2 linked regions of the Saccharomyces cerevisiae S288C genome follow. Changing the gene in region 2 together with the main gene of any one other region gives a genetic interaction. Each region holds a gene or a part of one and is shown on either strand. Other genes may lie near its edges.

The links.
Region 1: mutations in APC11 (region 2) and UBX4 together harm fitness more than expected from each alone (negative genetic interaction), as found in Saccharomyces cerevisiae (2 studies listed by BioGRID).

What each region holds. Positions count from the first base shown.
Region 1 is NC_001145.3:402,634-407,430, forward strand, and holds UBX4 (Ubx4p), read right to left. Parts: upstream 2,941-4,797; coding exon 1,690-2,940; downstream 1-1,689. Other genes in the region: SOV1 (Sov1p), read left to right, coding at 1-1,604; AVO2 (Avo2p), read left to right, coding at 3,671-4,797. UniProt on the Saccharomyces cerevisiae protein: Involved in CDC48-dependent protein degradation through the ubiquitin/proteasome pathway.
Region 2 is NC_001136.10:431,542-439,252, reverse strand, and holds APC11 (anaphase promoting complex subunit 11), read right to left. Parts: upstream 5,757-7,711; coding exon 5,259-5,756; downstream 1-5,258. Other genes in the region: proteasome regulatory particle base subunit RPT2, read right to left, coding at 1-1,206; YDL007C-A (uncharacterized protein), read left to right, coding at 2,429-2,686; YDL009C (uncharacterized protein), read left to right, coding at 6,005-6,328; glutathione-disulfide reductase GRX6, read right to left, coding at 6,228-6,923. UniProt on the Saccharomyces cerevisiae protein: Probably catalytic subunit of the anaphase promoting complex/cyclosome (APC/C), a cell cycle-regulated E3 ubiquitin-protein ligase complex that controls progression through mitosis and the G1 phase of the cell cycle.

The DNA of each region.
Region 1 (4,797 bases), on a different chromosome or scaffold from region 2:
TAATCAGAATGAAAGATGAGCAGGAGGAACTTCCCACGGGAGTTAAAAATTTTCAGAATGAGAAACATGCAACTGAGTTCTTAAATGAACTAGAAATACCATCGGATCATGATTATATCAGCATTGTTGATTTCCATCTTTATAAGAGAAATATTCCCATGGCGGCTCAACTTATCAGCAAGTACATGGAAATACCTGGAACGACACAAGAAGATGCCGCATTTCTACTTGTTAAAACCAAGCTAAATATGTTGAAAGATTTTGAAAAGCTACGAAACATTTTTGCTCAAAATAAAGATTATGTAGTGCCTGAGAATAATGTGAAAATGTTGCAAGAGGCATTTGAGAGCGTTATTACTAAGTATAACACTAATTCTCCAATATACAATGAATTGCTGTTTGAGAATGTTTCGGCCTTAACAAAAAGTATTGTATTAACTGATTTTCTGGAAGAGTTCATTACTAAACAGGCTTCTGGACAGTGGATGGAATTAAACAGTGTGTCACGTTCCAGAAAGTTTAATGGCTTGTTGAACATACTTCTCGGTACAGGTGAAGAAGAAAAAGCATATAATATCTTAAAAAAACTAGAAGAAGCCTCAAAGAAATCAAAAACAGATCCAGATTTACTCTATAATCAGTTTTATTCGGAAGTTAATGCATATCATTACGCTAAATTTGTTGAATTTTATAGTCTTCAAATTCAAAATATGAAGGCACAAAATACGCCCTCATTTAGAAAAAAGGAATTTAAGCAGAAAGTGAAGTCACTTTTAAAAAGAATGCAGGAGTCAGAGGTTATCCCAAATGCTGTTTTTTTGAGAGAAATACTCAATTTTTATGATAGCATGTATGACTTTAATTCAAGTTTTGAGATCATCAATCCGCTACTTGAATCCAAACAACAGGTGAGCTCTGAGTCTTCATTATCCACCTCAAACCCTTGCCGATTTTACAACCGTCGCATCATAACAAAACCGCTGTACCACAAGATTTGGTCTGTGTATTGCCATTATTATCATGTTTTACAAAATAATTCTAGGATTTTATCGAAAAAGTCGTCCATTGTAAAGAAATTAATAAAAAGGCAGATAAAGATTCACCCAACTTGTCACCCAAGAGTATTGTTCCAAATGACGGCAGAAAATGGTGAAATTTTGCCAGACAAAACTTTTTCTAAATTAATTGTGTCCACGTTCATGAAAAGCGGGGATTTAGAAGCAATACCTGCCATATTAACGTTTCTAACGAAAAAATTTGACTTGAATATTGATTACGATTTGAGTATGTATATTCTAAAGGGTTTGAAAAGACAATATTTACGAGATATTAGTAACATCAGTAAAGATGCTTGTGAGTACAAGTTACGGAAGGCGGAGCTAATGAATAATGAGTCAATCTTAAAAAACATTCCACAGGGTACAAATCAAGAGAATACAATATCCCATTTGATCAGGGAGATTTTGATCTTTATAAAATGGAAGGAAAAAAGTGATTGTTCTACTTTCTTGATGGTAGAAGATGCTTTTAAAGAATTAGGAACAGAGTTTACTTTACTCGAAGAATTAATAGAAGATGTAAATAAGTTAAAGATAAAAGCCTAAAAAAACGGATGCATTTTATATAATTTTAGCTATACGTGTACATATTTGTAATAAAGTTAAAAGAGGAGACTGTTTAGCTTTGTATTTATTTTTTACTTAATTTCATCCATTTAGGTACTCTATTTAAAGTCTTTTTGATACTTGTAGCGTTATCAGAAGGGCCCTGTGGATTGGATTTATTTATCGTATTAACTGATGGGGTTGTCCTCGTTTCGTGTGTGATTTTTTGTGCGTCTTCCAAAAGATGAGCCTTTATTAATGGGCCATTAGAATTTGAATTTGTTTCAAAAAGCAGCATTGTTTTAGAGCCAAATTCCAGGTCATCCAGTAGCTTCTTATCGTCTTTAGCCAAGGGTTTGAAAGGATGAGATTGGTTTAACGTAAAAGGCATGTTCTCATCGATCAGGAACTGCGACACGACGTTATAAACTGTACGCATGTCTTCATTGGGTTTGAATGCTATTTGAATATGGCTTCTATCGGGGAACTTGACTCTCAGCAAACACTCAGATATAGCCTTATTTTTCTTTGGCAAGTTGTTGGCTGATTGCTCTCTAAGTCTCTTTGTCAAAATAGGACCACCCAAAGTACCAGCCTTCGATGATAACATTTTTTGGTATTTCTTGGCTTGTTCTACTGTCAATTCATAATCTTCTTCATCCTCGATTTGATCCTTGATAACTGCTAATGGCTCATCCGAGGGCAAAAACACAGAAGGTTTATGTAGTTCGTGAGGTGGTAGTGAAGCAACCGTTTCCGGGTTCGTCATCGTAGGGGGAGTTTGTTTTGGGTGAATAGCGCTATTAGCGCTAATGCCCTCAGAATGAGATGTATTATTAAAAATCAATCTAACTGACGAAGGCTCCTGAATCCCTAAATTTTCGAGAGTCAAATTCTCATCCTTAATTGTTTTGAACTCTATTATCTTGGAAAAGACCTGGATCTTAAAATCATCTCCCGCAGCGCCGCTCATCTGTCGCAAGATAGGGGCAATTGGTTGGTCAGATGGCATTTCTTTAACCACGGAATCTCTTCCTGGGATTTGAAACCGTATTTTGATCGTATTGAATGGAATATCTTCGCGGTTGGTCTTATTCGCCACCGGAAAATTACTACTTTTAGATAATTCTAAGTTGACACCCGTTGGTAAGTTTAGAAGCCTCCATGGCAAATCTAATGGCACCGGTTTATCCAAATGTATCAATGACCAGTCGTTTGACGAGGTGTGCAGTTGAAAGAATTGTATGGATTGGTGTAACACATCGTTTAGTGTTGAATTCAACGAAACTTTACATTTGAAAAGTTGGAAGTTATACTTCACGGTAACCATAGGCATTGTATTGTGCGCTTATTAGTCTGCCTTGCTATTCTTCGCAGTACGTAGATTTATCTTAGTTTTTGCATTTTTTGGTTTTCTTTTTTTTTTGCCACACATAGTACAATAAAAGAGAACTTGAATCTTTGAAGAAACGTCTAAATTAACATCGAAGATAGAAGACAGGGAAACATCTAGGATTGCAAGAAATAGTGCTGAAATTTTGTAATAAAGTTGCAAGAAATAGCATCTAGCGTTTTATAAGGCGTACATCTTTCTTGGCAAGAGTTCCAAGAGAAAAGAGGAGCAAAACAGCGGTTGAGGCGCCCGCTATCTTGAATATTATACAGTTTCTTTAAAAACGCTTGTACAACACTGCATAAACATGGACAAATTATTGAAATTGTTTCAAGATATTTCCCATATCATATTCCAATAGCGTTACTCTCTCATCGCTTATTCTGGAATCATTATTTTAATAAAGATAACTCACACGATATACGTGTACTGAGCTGACCTTTATACCTACCCTTACCTGCTTATTCCTGATAAAAATGTTCGTGCAACTAATTGTTTGATTTCTCTTGCGGCCCGGTTATTCCGGAGTTGATACTTTTTTTCTTCTGTCTTAATTACGTTTTTTTCCTCTAGACTTTTTTGATCTGGTACAATTGAAAATGTATAAATCAACTGGACCCTAAAAATAAAAAAAAAAAACGCCCATTAGAAAAGAGGATATATTGAACAAAAGATGTTGAAAGAGCCCTCAGTTCGCTTGCGGGAGGCTATTATTGAAGGCAATTTACTTATAGTGAAAAGATTATTGCGACGGAATCCGGATTTGCTAACCAACATAGACTCAGAGAACGGATGGAGTTCATTACATTACGCCTCATACCATGGAAGATACCTTATATGCGTGTATTTAATTCAGCTGGGGCACGACAAGCATGAACTAATAAAAACCTTTAAAGGAAACACCTGTGTGCATTTAGCATTAATGAAAGGGCACGAGCAAACCTTACATTTACTTTTGCAACAATTTCCGCGATTTATCAACCATCGCGGAGAGAATGGTAGAGCCCCCATCCATATAGCATGTATGAACGATTACTACCAATGTCTGAGTCTGTTGATAGGAGTTGGTGCTGATTTATGGGTAATGGACACTAATGGCGACACGCCGCTGCATGTATGCCTGGAGTATGGCAGTATAAGTTGTATGAAGATGCTTCTCAATGAAGGTGAGGTGTCCTTGGATGATAATGTCAGGGACAAGGGAAATTGGAAGCCAATAGATGTAGCACAAACGTTTGAAGTAGGTAATATATATTCAAAAGTGTTAAAAGAGGTGAAAAAGAAGGGGCCACCGTTGGGTGCAGGCAAAAAACCAAGTTCATTCAGAACTCCTATACTAAATGCGAAGGCCACTTTCGAGGACGGGCCTTCCCCAGTTTTAAGCATGAATTCGCCATATTCGCTCTATTCCAATAATAGTCCGTTGCCGGTATTACCAAGAAGGATATCAACGCATACAACAAGCGGTAACGGTGGGAATCGGAGGAGTTCTATCACAAATCCAGTATTCAACCCACGAAAACCAACCTTGTCTACGGACAGTTTTTCGTCAAGCTCAAATTCCAGCTCGAGACTAAGAGTGAACTCCATCAACGTCAAGACTCCAGTAGGTGTGTCGCCCAAGAAAGAGCTTGTATCTGAATCAGTACGACACAGTGCAACACCAACAAGTCCGCACAACAACATCGCGTTGATTAATAGATACTTGTTGCCTAACAAGAGCAATGACAACGTGAGAGGAGACTCACAGACAGCTACAATCAACGATGACGGTGGCGGCGGCAATGGCGGTGATGCCAC
Region 2 (7,711 bases):
TAACAAACCTGCTTCTGTACACATTGCCTGGATATCGGCGCCTGACAAATCATCCTTTGTTGTTACTAAAGTTTCAAGATTAACGTCCTCACTTAAATTCATCTTGGAAGTGTGAATCCCTAAAATTTTTTTCTTAGTACTTAGATCAGGGTTTTCAAATAAGATTTTACGATCAATTCTCCCAGGCCTGATTAATGCTGGGTCAAGAGTCTCGATTTTGTTAGTGGCCATAATCACCTTCACATCCCCTCTGTCGTCGAACCCGTCCAGCTGGTTCAGCAATTCCAGCATGGTTCTCTGAATTTCTCTCTCACCACCACTATTGGAGTCATATCTTTTAGTACCAATGGCGTCTATTTCATCAATAAATACAATACTTGGTGCATTCTCACCCGCTACTTTGAAAATTTGCCTACACAACCTAGGACCATCCCCCAAATATTTTTGAATTAACTCTGAGCCAACAATCCTTAAGAATGTGGCAGATGTTTGATTTGCAACAGCCTTTGCTAGCAATGTCTTACCTGTACCGGGTGCACCATAAAGAATCACACCCTTGGGAGGTTTGATACCCATCTCTTCATACAGTTCGGGGTGTGTTAACGGTAACTCTACAGACTCTTTTATTTCTTGAATTTGAGATTCTAAGCCACCAATATCACTGTATGATTCTGTTGGCGACTTATCCATTTTCATGACCGAAACCATTGGATCGGCGTCATCCTGTAAAACACCTACGATGGACATGGTTTTATGATGCAATAACACAGAACATCCAGGCTCTAGTAACTCTTTATCGACAAAGGATAAGATAGATACATAATAATCAGGCATAGTTGGACTTGTCACTATCGCATGATCATCGTCTATAATTTCTTCAAGGGTCCCAATGCTCAATGGATTTCCACGTATTTCTTCCAATTGTTTCTTTTCCTCCTCCTGCTTCTTTTCAAAGGGTTTTAAAATTTCAGAGTTAGAGACAAATTCTTCTTCTAATAACAAATGGTCTTTAATTCGTTCCATCCTTAGAAGCTTTAACTTACAACGAGTACTTGGATATATGTTGGGTAATTTTTCAGCAGTAGCTGGACCTCCCTTTCTTTTCTTACGACCAAATTTAGATTGAACGGGAGGTTCATATTTGGGTTTCTGATTAGATCCCTTCTTCTTCTTTTTGTCTTGTCCAGATGATACACCTTGTCCCATTTTATTTTCTATTAAAAACGCTGTCTCTTCTTTAACTTGAATTGACTGTAAGCTTGACACTGATACGCATCATATTCACTAATATTCACATTAACCTTCTTTTAGGTAAAAGAAAAGAGACATTTGCCACCGGAGAAAAACCGTTAATAACTCGTTACCCGGAGTGATAAAAATATTGGGAATATAAAAATGACGACAACTGCAGGACTCGAACCTGCGCGGGCAAAGCCCAAAAGATTTCTAATCTTTCGCCTTAACCACTCGGCCAAGTTGCCTTACTAATGATGAATTATTGACTTAAGATATATCCCAAACCTAGGAATATGTAAACCTGCTGGAATATTATTTGTTAGAATAAAAATCAACTATTCTCTCTCAACTAGTAGTCTTACTACGAGTATATTATAATGTACAATGTTAGATGATGACATAAGGTATGAGAAACTGTCATAGAAGTTAGAGGAAGCTGTATTCTGTATACATAATATTATTGCCTTTATTAACAATGGAATTCCAACAATTATCACTTGTTGATAGTTAGAGGTAAAAAATAGTATTAATGAAGAAATAAGTATTGATCTTCTTATACTAAATAAGAGAGGTATATAAAACACACGCCGATTGGTCATATTAATCATGACCAATATAATAGTGATTCCGGTAGTTACTATACATTGATGTGACGACTCATATTCCTCATATATGTACCTACCATATCATGTTCAATTAATAGATCTTTAGCACAGCTTCAGTATTGTCTGAGCTTCTCGTTTAACATTCCTTCTGCAATAGGTGCAATCACACTTAAACGTATACGAGGTGTACATTAATATACGGTGTAAGCATTAGATTGTTACCATAGCAACTCATGTCACTATTAATTACTCTCGTTCCAACATCACTAAATTCCCGTAATTACCACCGCAAAAGAAAAAAGAATACAAGAAATGGAAAACTAGCGCATAATTTTGTTTCTTTCTTTTTCAAAGTTGCAGCCGCTACTATTGATTCGTTTGAAAATAGCACTTGGCGGCTAAACTACCGGCATAGAAAGTGGATCGGGCAAAATTAAAAGGGAAAGAGCGACGGGGTTACGGGACCATTACATAAAAAAAGTATCACAAAATCTATTGTATGCAAAGATATAAACCATCACATTATTGAAATAATATCGTTCTTGATACTTCCATAATCCAAGAAAAATATTTCAAGCACTTTCTTGATGTTCCTTCCTATAATTTTTCACACCATCCTAACCCTCCTGAACTTTGGTAAATATTACTGTTTACCTATTCAAGAAGACGATGATAAATCAGGAAAAGAAATTGAACAAATTTTAGACAATAACATCGAGTCATTAGGACTACTACTAAATTCGATGTCCTTATCCTCGAACTTTACGACAGGCGATCCTGAACTAGATTCGCTCTTCCAAGATGATTTAATCCCCGAGTTATATAGTGTATTAGATGGCTTCTAACACCAAGTATGTGTATTCTAAGGGTATACAAAATAAATACTGCGATACTATTCAATTCTTCAACAGCAGCTTACTAGATGTAAAATTAGTTACTTCAATTTATACTGTCACTTTTGCATATTTTCAATAGAATAAAATTACCGACGTCTGCCTATTTCTTCCATTGATGGATATATTTCTTTCTCTATCTCATTGCTTGTTACAACACCAAAAGTTTTGCTAAGAATGTGTATAGGAAACAAAAGCCAGAAGTCATTTCGTTCCAAGCCTTTAAGCGCCTAATAGTGAACTTTGCACCGCATACGTTAGCTTATGGTATGTGTGGTAATGTGTGAATTGTTTGTGATATGTAAAAAAAAAAAAAAAAAGGCCACGCTCAAGCACACAATGAAATAAAATTTAAATTTCGGGGCCATTCTACCGTTGGTTTTGCTATCTGCCGGAAAGAGGAAGTCCACAAGTGCCAAAAACTGTCAGTTACATTTTAAAAATAATCGAAATTTATTTTCTTTTGCTATCTCGGTTAAATATTGATGTGTGATTTGGCATAGTTGGCCATTGTCTTATGATTTCTGATTCTACGACGTTCCAATTTTTTATAATCAGTTCAATAATAATAATACATCGATCGGTCGGTCATATTCTTTTCTTTCTTTTTCTGTCAAGGCGTTACTGACGCGACACACAAGCGGCAGGTATAGTGACGTTTTCCGTTGAATGAAGTAATTCTAATGAACCTACGGTTCTCAATAGCATTGGCAGAGGCAGCTGATAAATGTACAGTAGTTTTTACCAGGAAATCCAGCGAGTATTACACATCCGTAGACGCGCTATGTTTTTCCTCAGGTTATCTTTCAGTAATGCTTGAGATCTCTAAAGGAAGTATACACAGTAATAGTGTGACCCAAAAGTTGTTAAAATTTCCGGAGGTAGCCATTATATACCAATTTTTGTATAAATTTACAGGATTAGAAGGTACCTAAAAAACTATAACATGTCAAGAAAGGCCTCTGAGAAGTGAAACAATACTTCCAAGCACAAATATATATTAATAGAATAATGACTGCTTGGTAGTTGAGAGATTACATGTATTGCATAGTGACTGAAAAAATTTAGTATAATTGCTATGTTGCTAGCACAGTGTTAGAATAGGGGCAGATCATTTGTATCATATAATGGGGTATGGAGAACAGGTACCAATTGGGCATATTGAATATTTCGAATATGATGTTATCTCCAAGAATGTACATCATGTCCATTGTGACATTTCATGGTTTTATATATGGGGTTTCTGCATTTTTCAACAAACATCTCTTTTATAAGCTTTGCGCTAGTTATGGTATTTATTTTTCAAATTAATAACTTACAAATAAACAAAACTTTCTCAACTAAATATTTATTTCTTCCCTGTAGACTGTAAAAATTTCGGAAGCAAAAATAAACCTCCCTGAATGTTAAAGGTGATTATTAGGTGAATAATTTGATAATTGTTGCAATTCCACTGTTTGTAAATTCTATAGTATTATGTATACAGAATACAGCTTCCTTTAACTTCGACGACAATTTCTCATAACCTTATGTCATCATCTAATACCGTACATGATAACACACTATAAGAATTGAGAAACAGTCATCAGATGAGATGGAAGCTGCAAATGCAAGCATTGAAAATATAATAAATAACGAATGATAACAAAAAATGTGGGGAAGAAAAAACAACATTACCATGTATGATTCTTGCTTCCCTCTTGTAGTATCCTCTATCTTGTAAGAGACGTTGTGATATACTGAATACCCAGTAATATTCCCGCTATCTAGAATGAAAATTGTTGGAATTGAACTCTAATATCATCTATTTAATATTATATTATCACATGCGGTGTAAGAAGATGACATAAAGATTGAGAAACAGTCATCCGATCTAATGGAAGCTGAAATGCAAGGATTGATAATGTAATAGGATAATGAATGACAACGCATAAAAGGAAAGAAGATAAAATAATAACATTATGTAGAACTATCGATTCCCTTTTGTGGATTCCTATATCCTCGAGGAGAACTTCTAGTATATTCTGTATACCAATATTATAGCCTTTAGCAACAATGGAATCCCAACAATTATCTAACAACTCACATATTTCTCAAAAATAACACAATTTTATGAAAGTTCACATAATTGAGTTAGAGCTTGAAATACTCTAACTTACAATCAAATGAACACAAATCAGAAGCTTCTATGGCCAAGTTGGTAAGGCGCCACACTAGTAATGTGGAGATCATCGGTTCAAATCCGATTGGAAGCATATTTTTATGTATTCTAAGTATGCAACGATACCGCTGTCATCGTTAGCATGATTAGTACACTGTTGTTCTTTTTCAATCTAACAACCTTAACTTCAGTTCCGGCTACAGTACATCTATTCAACGATTGGAAAAGAAAATTTTTTTATCTTTAGCTGCAACAAGAAAAAATCAATATTAAATTTTCATTTAAGTATACAGAATGTTAACAGCGTTCACAAGAAAAGAACCGTATGGAAATATAGCTAATTGTGATTTCTAAGTTTCTTTTTTATCGTAACAAAAAGTCTTCGTCCAGGATGGTATCAACTTGCTGTCTACCGATTGGGTTATCGGTGTTTTGCCTTATTGGTTCATCAAAGTCCACAAACTCTTCTGCGACGCCCTCCTCTATCATTTCTTCTCTTCTTCTTGAAACTATTTCAACGAACTTTTGGACATGAGCGTCATTAATTGCTAGACCCTTCTGTAGCTGGAAAGTTTGCCTACACATCGGACACAGTCCTTTTGAGGTTGGTGTATCAAGCCAACGGTATATACAATGATCATGGAAGTTATGATGACATAGCCCAATCACTAAAGGGCATTGATCGCCTGGAAATTTACAGCTTGGACAGGTACCGTTATAACTGGCACGACAGATACCACAGACATCCTCGTCTTCATCATTGCCAATTGGATCGTTATTGGCTGCGTCCTCATCAGATGTGCTAGGGATGTGCCATGACCAAGCAAACACACTGTGCACTTCGTTTATTTTAACTTTCATATTTTTATAATCTGTATTGCCACTTTGCTTGTTAAACTCTCCCGATATTGTACAAAGTTTTTGAAGAATGCATTATTTTTTTATCTGCAGACACGGAAGATACAAAAGTTATCTCGGCAGCTTACCCTTTATATCGAATGCAGGCGTAGACAAAAGTGCGTTGCATAACTTACCAAGGTGAAGTGCATGGACCAGCAAAGGATAGAAGTTATTGTAAACATCGAAACCATAAACTTATATATGTATATATGAAGGCATTAAGCGTTTTATGTTTTCACAACCCTTTTAAGAGATGTCTTGGACAAAAAAGCTTCTTCGTTGGTGATAGCTTCTTTATTCCAACTCCGAAACGCCTTGTGCTAGGAAAACTACGCCTTTCCAACTACACTGCATTTCACGACCTAATCATTCACGACCTCTTTATTTATATATTTATTCTTAATTTTTTCTTCTTTCCTTTTTGTAACAATTTCAATTATTGGAAGGTTTTTCACGTTGCTCAACCGAGAATTTACCATCACTCCAGACTTGTAATGATTCTAAAAGTTTCCCTTGAGTGTGCAGTTTCTTGATTTCTTCATTACCTCCTCTTGATACTCCATTAACCAAAAGGTTTGGAACAGTTCCTCTACCGGTCACCAACTTGATATATTCTTGCAGCTCTTCCCCATGTCCATGTTTGTCAAGTTCTATAATATAGTAGTTTGGGATAAACTGATACTCATTTTCAAGCAGTTCCTTCATGCCCTTGCTATATGAACAGGTGCTTTTACTAAATATTATAATCGGAGACAAGTCTAGTATGAGGGAGTATTCTTTTTGAACATTAAAAGCTTTGGTTATTCGCGACCCTTTATCGTTTTTAATGGCCGACAAACTATCATCAACCGATGCTATGGGCTGTTGGAGTCCCACCTTCTGTTTTATTTCATTAATTTCTTCGTCTACTTCAGAGCTCCCCTTATTCGTGGTAGAAGTCGGCATAGCAGCATATTCCCTGGAAGATCCTCCAGCCATATTGTCCATATTAGTACTAAATGCTTTAGAAGTTTCCTCTTTTATCTCTACCGTCAAGAAGTTCGCATTTTGCGCTACGAAAAACACTAACAACAATAATAGCGTTGTAATGCTTAAAATTCTAGCATTTCTCTTATTGGAAGGTATCATAATAAAATTGTTTCTATATTAAACCGCTAGGTTGCTAAGGTTTCGTCTTTTCTATCTTACGATAATTTGCTTAAAAGTTCATTTAGAGAATAGATAGTGATCTTTCCCAGTATAATGTTTTCCCGATTTCGCGAACGCTCCGCCTCAGGCGCCCCGGGACGCGTCATGCGCGTTCCAGAAAGTTAACTAACTGCTAGTGCATTCAATTTCTCAAGGCGTAGTATTTGGGATCTATAAAGCCTTCGACATTAAGCACTATGCTTAAAAGCGAACAGCCTGCGCCACTACTTAAGAGCGAATCTTGTGTGGAGGGATGACTAGGTCCAAAGAGGGAGAAAAGGATCTTGCGGAAAAGTCAACAACACTAATCGGTAGCTGAGTCTGTCAGTGCATCCTTACTGGCTTACTATTTTCATTCATGCTGCAAGTAGATTATCCTCTAGTTAAATTAAACGCGGATGAACTACGCCATTAAATCCATCATAAGAAACTAATTACTACTTTTAGGAAATTAGCCAACTAAAAACTGCTGAAACGCCACATTTCACATAAAACCCCACGGAGCAGTAATGGGAGATCTTAAGCTCAGCCCAGTACATATGTCCATCAGCCTTGAATAGCCACGGTGAGTTCTCGAAGCTTCCTTCCACCTAGTCCAGAATATTTCTTGGTAAATGGCTCGAAGTTTTCGTATTAAACGATGCTATCAGCGGCATCGTGAAATATTGAAATATAAAAAGTATTTACGCAACCGAAAAGGATATTAAGACAAACCCATACAATAGCCC